Yarrowia lipolytica: one gene and its partner. The protein of the gene in region 1 interacts with the protein of each later gene in a pairwise test. Links are inferred from orthologs where the notes say so. Each region holds a gene or a part of one and is shown in the gene's direction. Other genes may lie near its edges. The genes, in order: YALI1_B06245g and YALI1_C25576g.

Region 1 (4,115 bases):
CCGCGAAAGGTGCGACTCCTCCAGTTTGGCAGTCTGCATGTCTGGAAGATCTGGCGGACATGTACCTCGACGGAATCATGCGGTATCACGAGGTAGCTCGTTCTGGGCGTGTCGGACAGAGACAAGCAATTCCCGGCGAAGCTATGGCAGACGTTGCAGGCACGCCTGGACACGGAGCTCGAGCTCTTCACGGTCAACCACCCCAGACAGTCAGAAAGAGCGAACACCTAGCTGATCCAAAGATGAAGCAGCACTTTGTCACAGACAGAACTGGGATCTCGGCCAACTGTACCTGTCATCGAGCTCGCGATGAACTCAGCAAATCTCTCGTCCACCGGATACCCACCATTCAAGGCCGTGTATGGAGACATTCCAGACGGATCAACGATGGATCGACTCGGGAGCTCACCAAGGGGCATCACCAGATGGATGCTTGCATGGACAGGCTACGGGCCATGAGAACAGGGTGAACCAGCATCGGGAGCCAGTCGCATTCCAGGTCAACCACCAGATGTTTTCAACATACAGTGGAAGGCGTTCTTCAACGGGCCAAGTACAGTATGTACAGTACATACAGTACATACGCCAGGATGACGTCTACTTTGCGATTGAGAAGATCGGCACCAACGTCTACAAGATGTTTTCTGCCTCCTAAAGTGGTGCCATGGGTTGGTTGGTTGGTTGGTTTTTTGTTGTTGTTTTTTTTTTTGTTGTTTTCAGCGTCTACAAAGATATTTTATGACTGAAAGTTGTGCCATAGCTGACGCTTTTTTTTGTAACAATTTTTTTGAAAGTTTCCCAACATCAAAAAAAACCGTTCCGCCGCACGTCATAAATTAAAAACCCATCGAGACAAAAAAACTCCCGAAAAAGCCGCCTTTAATCGAGCTAAAGTTCTGCATGAAAATTGATATATTGCGGAAAATGCGATATAGCGATATGTTGCGGAAAATGCGGTAAAAAGTAGAAATAATGAAATAATAATTACACCATAGAAAATGTCGCACCGAGAAAATCATTTTGATACCCAAAGATCCCAAAATAACCATACAGAACTTGCAGCATCACCACCTACTGTACTGTTGTTTTTGCCTTCTACATATTGAGATGCTGACGAATGTTGCAACTATCGGTGTGGTACCGTGCGTACTTGTGTTCATATATCTATCACTACTGTATTGTACCCCTTTATCATCACTAGTACTCGAACACAATCTCTTTTCCAATCTCTTCTCGTAGACAACTCACGGAGATACACATGGTCTTCACAGATGGCAGAGCTCGTTCGTCTAAATATGGCCGTCATGGTATCTACATCACGTCTCGAACTCCTCCATATTGGACTCTTTTGTTAATGACTGTAACTGCCGCATTCATCGACGCTTCGCTGAACATCTCAAGTCAGCTAGTTCCCTTTCTCTCCTCTCTAAGCAGCTGGTTCTCTTTCCTGCCAACGTTGCTACTTCTTTCTCCATATTTCTTTCTCCATATTTCTCTCTCCATATTTATTCATCTTTTTTCAGATTAGGTTGTGAGTCAGCGCGCTTCGGATGTCTTCAACAGGGAATATTTGTATGTATGGAGGGGTACTTTTTTGGGCTGATCCATAGCTCTGCTCTTCCCAACTACAAATAAATTTGAGCCAATCAAATCGGAGCATTTTTTGCCACTCCAGCAACTGGTGCGATATCGGCCATACGCCCGTGACACATTTCTTATTACTAACATCAAACCTAGATAACCGGGGTGCAGGAAAAAGAAGGATCCGAACTCCTACATCTTTCTCCACTTACACAACCGCCTACTCGTACACACACGCCCGTCATGTCTTCGATATTGTCAGCAGACGACCTAAACGACTTCATCTCGCCCGGAGCGGTGTGTATCAAGCCGATCAAGGTGGACAAGACAACTGAAAACGCTGAGATCGAAATCGGAGCCCAAGGACAGGCCCTGGAGGTGGGCATCGATGGGACACAAAAAGAGCTGGAGCCGGCGCAGCTGTCTCTAAGCGACTGCCTGGCATGCTCGGGCTGCATCACGTCGGCAGAGAGTGTTTTGGTGGCTCTTCAGAGCCATACCCAGCTACTCGATGAGCTCAAGAAGGAGGCAGAGCTACCCAGTGGCGAAAAACGCATTTTTGTGTGCTCGGTGAGCCACCAGGCCCGAGCAAGTTTTGCGGCGGCCTTTGGGGTGTCTGTGGAGGTGGCCGATGCCAAACTGCACTCTCTACTGTTGGACACTCTGGGGTTTGATTACGTGGTGGGCATGGGCGTGGGACGGGAGATTTCGTTGATCCACAGCGCCCAGGAGGTGGAGAAGTCGACACAGAAACCCGTCATGGCTGCATCGTGTCCCGGATGGGTCTGCTACGTCGAAAAAACCCATCCCCACGTCATTCCCTACCTCTCGAGTGTCAAATCTCCTCAGCAGATTTGTGGATCTCTACTCAAAAAGGTCATTTGTGACACGAGAAGAGTCAAGCCCAGCCAGGTGTATCACGTGAGTGTCATGCCGTGTTTCGACAAGAAGTTGGAGGCGTCGCGCGACGAGTTTTCTGTCGAAGAGGCCGGCCAGGAGGAAAAAATCAGAGACGTGGACTGTGTCATCACCACCAAGGAAGTGGTCCAACTGCTGACAGAGAAAGACATGAGTTTCGGTGGTCTTCCCGAGATTGACAAAAGCCGTCTCTACACTTCAGTGCCCGAAACCTGGCCTGCTGAGCGAGACTGGGCGAACCACGTTGGGTCGTCTTCAGGGGGATATTTGCATCATGTTCTGACGGCGTTGAGGCTGCGGCATGACCCCCTGGAAACTCGAACCCGTGTGGACGCGTCCATGGGCAAAAACCAGGACGTTATGGAGTACTCTGTCATTGACACGGAGACTGGAGAAACGGTGGCTTCTGCCGCTCAGGTCTACGGCTTCAGAAACATCCAGAACCTGGTTCGGAAGCTAAAGCCCAGCCGGGGTAAGGGCAAGGTTGTTTCGGCCAGAAAGAGCACAAAGACCGTTTCTGCTGCCCTCAACCCTTCCACTTACTCGTACATTGAGGTCATGGCTTGCCCTGGAGGATGTATCAATGGAGGAGGGCAAGTGGGAGCTCCCGAGGGAGTTGCTGCACGTGAATGGAAGGATGAGACAGAAAAAATGTACAACTCCATCCCCTCAGAGGCCGTCAGTGAAGAGGTGGTGGACTGGGCCACAAAGGTGTGGGGACCCCATGATGAAGACAAGCTGGTGACTGCGCATTATCAGGAGGTGGAGAAGGTTGACCAGGGTCTGGCCTCCACTTGGTAACGAGTGATTGAAAGGGTGTCACTAGTGGATAACATCTTTTTAAGACGAACATGAACATTCGACACTGACTTATTTATTCAATAAATCATATGATTGAGCCAACTTACGAGCATGAGGGAGTTACTGTATGTATTTATGGGTGTATGCTCAACTGTTTCTATATCACTTTTGCCACCACCATGCTGGTGGTATCAGATCGGAGTTGGGCATGAAGAAGTGGTGAGCTGAATTAGAGGGATCAGCAGCGACGAGATAACCCAGGAACTTGCTTGAGCGTGCTTCGCTTTGGAAAAGTTGACTCAAATGGAATCTCATCTAATATTAGCAGTTCAGAACATGAGAACGAGACAAGTACATACTGTACATACTGTACTGTACCTGTAGAAGGACATAAAAACCACCCAGTTATGGGTCGAATTTGCCATTTGCCATCTTCTGATCCAATTTGGAGCCACTATCGAGGAAATACACAAGACATGCTCTTCCTCCATTCTCATCGCCTCTCCGAGACATCTCCGAGACACTCTACGCAGTAGAACCAGCCAGCTGAAACAGTGCAGGATGACGATGCGCTGCAGAGTGGATCCAATGTTTGGGTGGGCTGTAGATGTCGTGAAGAAAAACCAAAAAAAAAGACCAATTTATGCATGAGACGTCCTTGATTGGTTTTCTCCAGTTCAACACCCACTTTCTTGAGTTTTACCCCGTTCTAGTCTGCCAATAATCGTGATGACTTTCAGGCTCTATCCAGATCTAGGTTTCGCTTAAGACTGATGTTTGGTCGGTGAAATGGAGTTCCTAGTGGTAGTTCTGGG
Region 2 (3,355 bases), on another chromosome or scaffold:
TCAAAGGGGACCTCATCACGGGTTCGCACAGAGTAGTGAATGTCGACGCAGCCTCGAGGAGGATTGGTAGACAAAAGGGCCTGCAAAACAGAGGCGATTCCGGTTCCTCCAGCAAAGAAGACCAGGTTGTCGGGTTTGGGAACGTCCAGGTACTTCCAGTCAGCCGGGATTCGACTGGGCATATCCTCCATGGGAGCTCTGGGAGGCTTAACGTCAGCAGGAATTTCCGGAATGACAGCATCAATAAATGGACCTCGAATGTCCACATCGGTGCCAATTGGCAGGGATTGGATCCACTTTGCGACTTCTCCGTTCTCGTACTTCTTGATGATCATGCAAAAGCCATTGTAGTCGGTATCCCAACTGATGATCTTGACCAAAGGATCCTTTCCATCAACATCCTGCATCATGTAAACGGGTAGAGGAGTGTAGGATCGTACAACCTGCACGTCAGGCTGTCTAATGTGAACAGAAAACATTCTGTGACCATCCCAGTACTCTGCATACTTGGGCTGGAGCATGGATCGTTCCGGTCCCTTAAATTCAATCAGCTCCACGTCGTCGCTGATCTTCATCTTCTTGACAATCTTGTACTTGACAAAGGCGTTGTTTGCCAGAGTAGTCTCTCCTCCCTCGTTACCTCCTCGTCCAGTAACCATGTAAGCACACCAAATGATCCACAGAATGACCGCGAGGGCAAACAGTTTGGGTCCATGGCCGTCTAGGGCCTTCCATTTCAGCATATGGGGCCGTCGCACGTCAGTTTTAGGCATCTCAAACGACTCTCGGACCCACTCTTTGGCGGGGACGTAGCCGTTTTTCTTCGCCAAAGCCTCGGCCTTGGGATCAGGGATGTGGGGGAGCTGATCAAACGTGGTGTCTTTCTTTACCATCTCGTTGGACTGCTCCTTGTCGTTTTCGGGCTTGTTTTCAGCATCCTTCTTGGGGTGGTCGTTGTGAGCATCTTTCTGGAACAGATGTCGTCCAGTTGTGAAGGGAGACACCGGCCGAAACAGAAGCTGGGGTCTTTGGATCGGCTTCAGTAGCACAGGCCGGCTGGCCCGGAGTCCAATTAGTCCTATGCGGAACATTTGTGTGAGTTGCGGAGTCTGTGGAGTTTTTCAGATGCTGCAGTTTCGTTTCTACCGTGCGTTGATTAAGTTTACCAAATGTGAACTTTAGAGGACAGAAGTTAGACGACGGTGATAAAACGGGAGTTCTAGAGGCTAGATATTTGACAAAGTCGTTGAAATTATGTGTTTATTCGGTAATTTCATAAAGCTCTTGTTGACTTCTTTTCATTTTTTCATATTTTTCCCCGATTTTTGACGCATTTACAGAATGTTGTTCAGCCTTTATTTCACTTTTTTCCCTGAACATGATACACCACTCCCTACGAAAGGCGACGAAGAAGTGCAAGAGAAAACGAAAATAGTTTCAAAATATATACCGCGGAAAATCCAGTTGAACCAATATTCAAACACCCTCCGATCTCAGGCTCTTGACGGTCTCGACTGTCCTCACTGCCAGGTCTCGACGCCATCAGTTTAACTTTCTAGTGCAAGCCTGCAGGCTATTACTCACTACCATCATCTTGACATCACCACCAAATGCAGCTGATCAAGGCACTGAAAGGACACACGGACCGGGCGTGGGCAGCGTCCGTCCACCCCAACCTGCCTCTTCTGGCCACGTGCTCGGGCGACAAAACTGTGCGAATCTACAACACAAACAACTGGGAGCTGGTGACGACCATCACCGAGGGCCACAACCGATCTGTGCGCTCAGTGGCCTGGAAGCCCAGCGGCTCGTCCCCGTCGCTGGCGCTCGGAAGCTTCGACTCCACAGTCAGCATCTGGGGCAAAGAGGACGACGAGTGGCAGTTTTTGGCGGCTATTGAGGGCCACGAAAACGAGGTCAAGGGAGTCAGCTGGTCATGTGACGGCCAGCTGCTCGCCACATGTTCCCGAGACAAGAGTATATGGGTGTGGGAGGCTGACGACATGAATGACGAGTTCGAGTGTATATCTGTGCTGCAGGACCACACTCAAGACGTGAAGCATGTCGCCTGGCACCCTTCAGAGATGGTGTTTGCCAGTGCCAGTTACGACGATACCGTGCGGCTATGGCGCGAGGACGACGACGATTGGATCTGTGTTGCCGACCTCGGAGGACATGAGTCCACTGTTTGGGGGTGTGCTTTTGAGCCCTCTGAGGGTTCTGATCTCAGACTAGTCAGCTGTTCGGACGACAAAACATGCATTGTGTGGAAAAAGGAGGGACAGGTTGGAGGTACAGGTGACCACTCCGGCATCCGACCTGCTTTCCGGGCTGATCCTCTCTCTGAGGAGTGGATTCAGCAGGCTACTCTGCCTGAAGCACACACTCGAGCCATCTACTCTGTTGCATGGAACAAGAACGGACGAATCGCCTCCACCGGTGCCGACGGTAAGCTTGTGGTCTACAAGGAGAACGGTCCTGGCCAGTGGGTGGTTGAGTCTGAGGTCGAGAACGCTCATGGTGTCTATGAAGTGAACGATGTCGTTTGGTTGGACGACAAGTTGGTTACTTCTGGCGATGACGGAGTTGTGAATATCTGGGAGGTTTGATCGGAATATATTTACATGGAGATGATTTCTGTTGTTTTTTCGTTCATTTTCTAGTTTTCTCCGATTTTTTTTCTGACTTTCTCAAAGCCGGTTGCAAATTTGTCTAAACACGGCATATCGAAGGAAGCACTCCCTACAAATCAAGTCTGGTTTTAACTTTTTAGTGCGAGTTCAACACGCAACAATAGAACACCTCATTTCAAAGGTTATTCTTTCACGGCAAAGTTATAATTAAATGAATGTATATGCAGAAAAAAAAAAACTAAGGGCGGGCTAGAACAGAAACCGTTGTGCGGCCAAAACACGGACATAGTCCGTTTTGTTCCATAGATTCACGTGACATGTAATGAAATGGCTTGGTTATTCAGTGTACAGTGCATTTATCACTCTTTTTGCGCGGTCTGCAATCTCCTTCGAATCTGAATCTCCTTCGAATCTAAATCTCCTACGTCATACACGTTTTAAGGTTACCAATAGTGCATAACCACACACATGTATCATCACCTCGACAACGAGACTTGACTATATAACACGACAACTTCCTACACAGCAACCAGCATGAGCCAAAGACCGACGGGGCTTAAGATCGACATGCCGGAGTCATTTTCCGACCAGATGGCCAAAGCGAAAAAGTACGGCAATCTCGGCGCCAATTCCAGTGGACCGTCGTCTGCAGGGCCTATGAGAACGCCTTCATGGGGTATTCTCAATGTGCCCGAGCTGCTGAACGACTTCCACCACCACAC

Evidence for each region.
Region 2: the proteins of YALI1_B06245g (region 1) and YALI1_C25576g interact in binary tests that used the Saccharomyces cerevisiae proteins (3 or more experiments, as listed by UniProt). The link is inferred for Yarrowia lipolytica from reciprocal best matches to the Saccharomyces cerevisiae genes NAR1 and CIA1.

What each region holds. Positions count from the first base shown.
Region 1 is NC_090771.1:622,281-626,395, reverse strand, and holds YALI1_B06245g (uncharacterized protein), read left to right. Parts: upstream 1-1,824; coding exon 1,825-3,300; downstream 3,301-4,115. Other genes in the region: YALI1_B06264g (uncharacterized protein), read left to right, coding at 1-470. UniProt on the Saccharomyces cerevisiae protein: Essential component of a cytosolic Fe/S protein assembly machinery. Required for maturation of extramitochondrial Fe/S proteins. May play a role in the transfer of pre-assembled Fe/S clusters to target apoproteins.
Region 2 is NC_090772.1:2,555,909-2,559,263, reverse strand, and holds YALI1_C25576g (uncharacterized protein), read left to right. Parts: upstream 1-1,610; coding exon 1,611-2,609; downstream 2,610-3,355. Other genes in the region: YALI1_C25581g (uncharacterized protein), read right to left, coding at 1-1,091; YALI1_C25560g (uncharacterized protein), read left to right, coding at 3,168-3,355. UniProt on the Saccharomyces cerevisiae protein: Essential component of the cytosolic iron-sulfur (Fe/S) protein assembly machinery. Required for the maturation of extramitochondrial Fe/S proteins.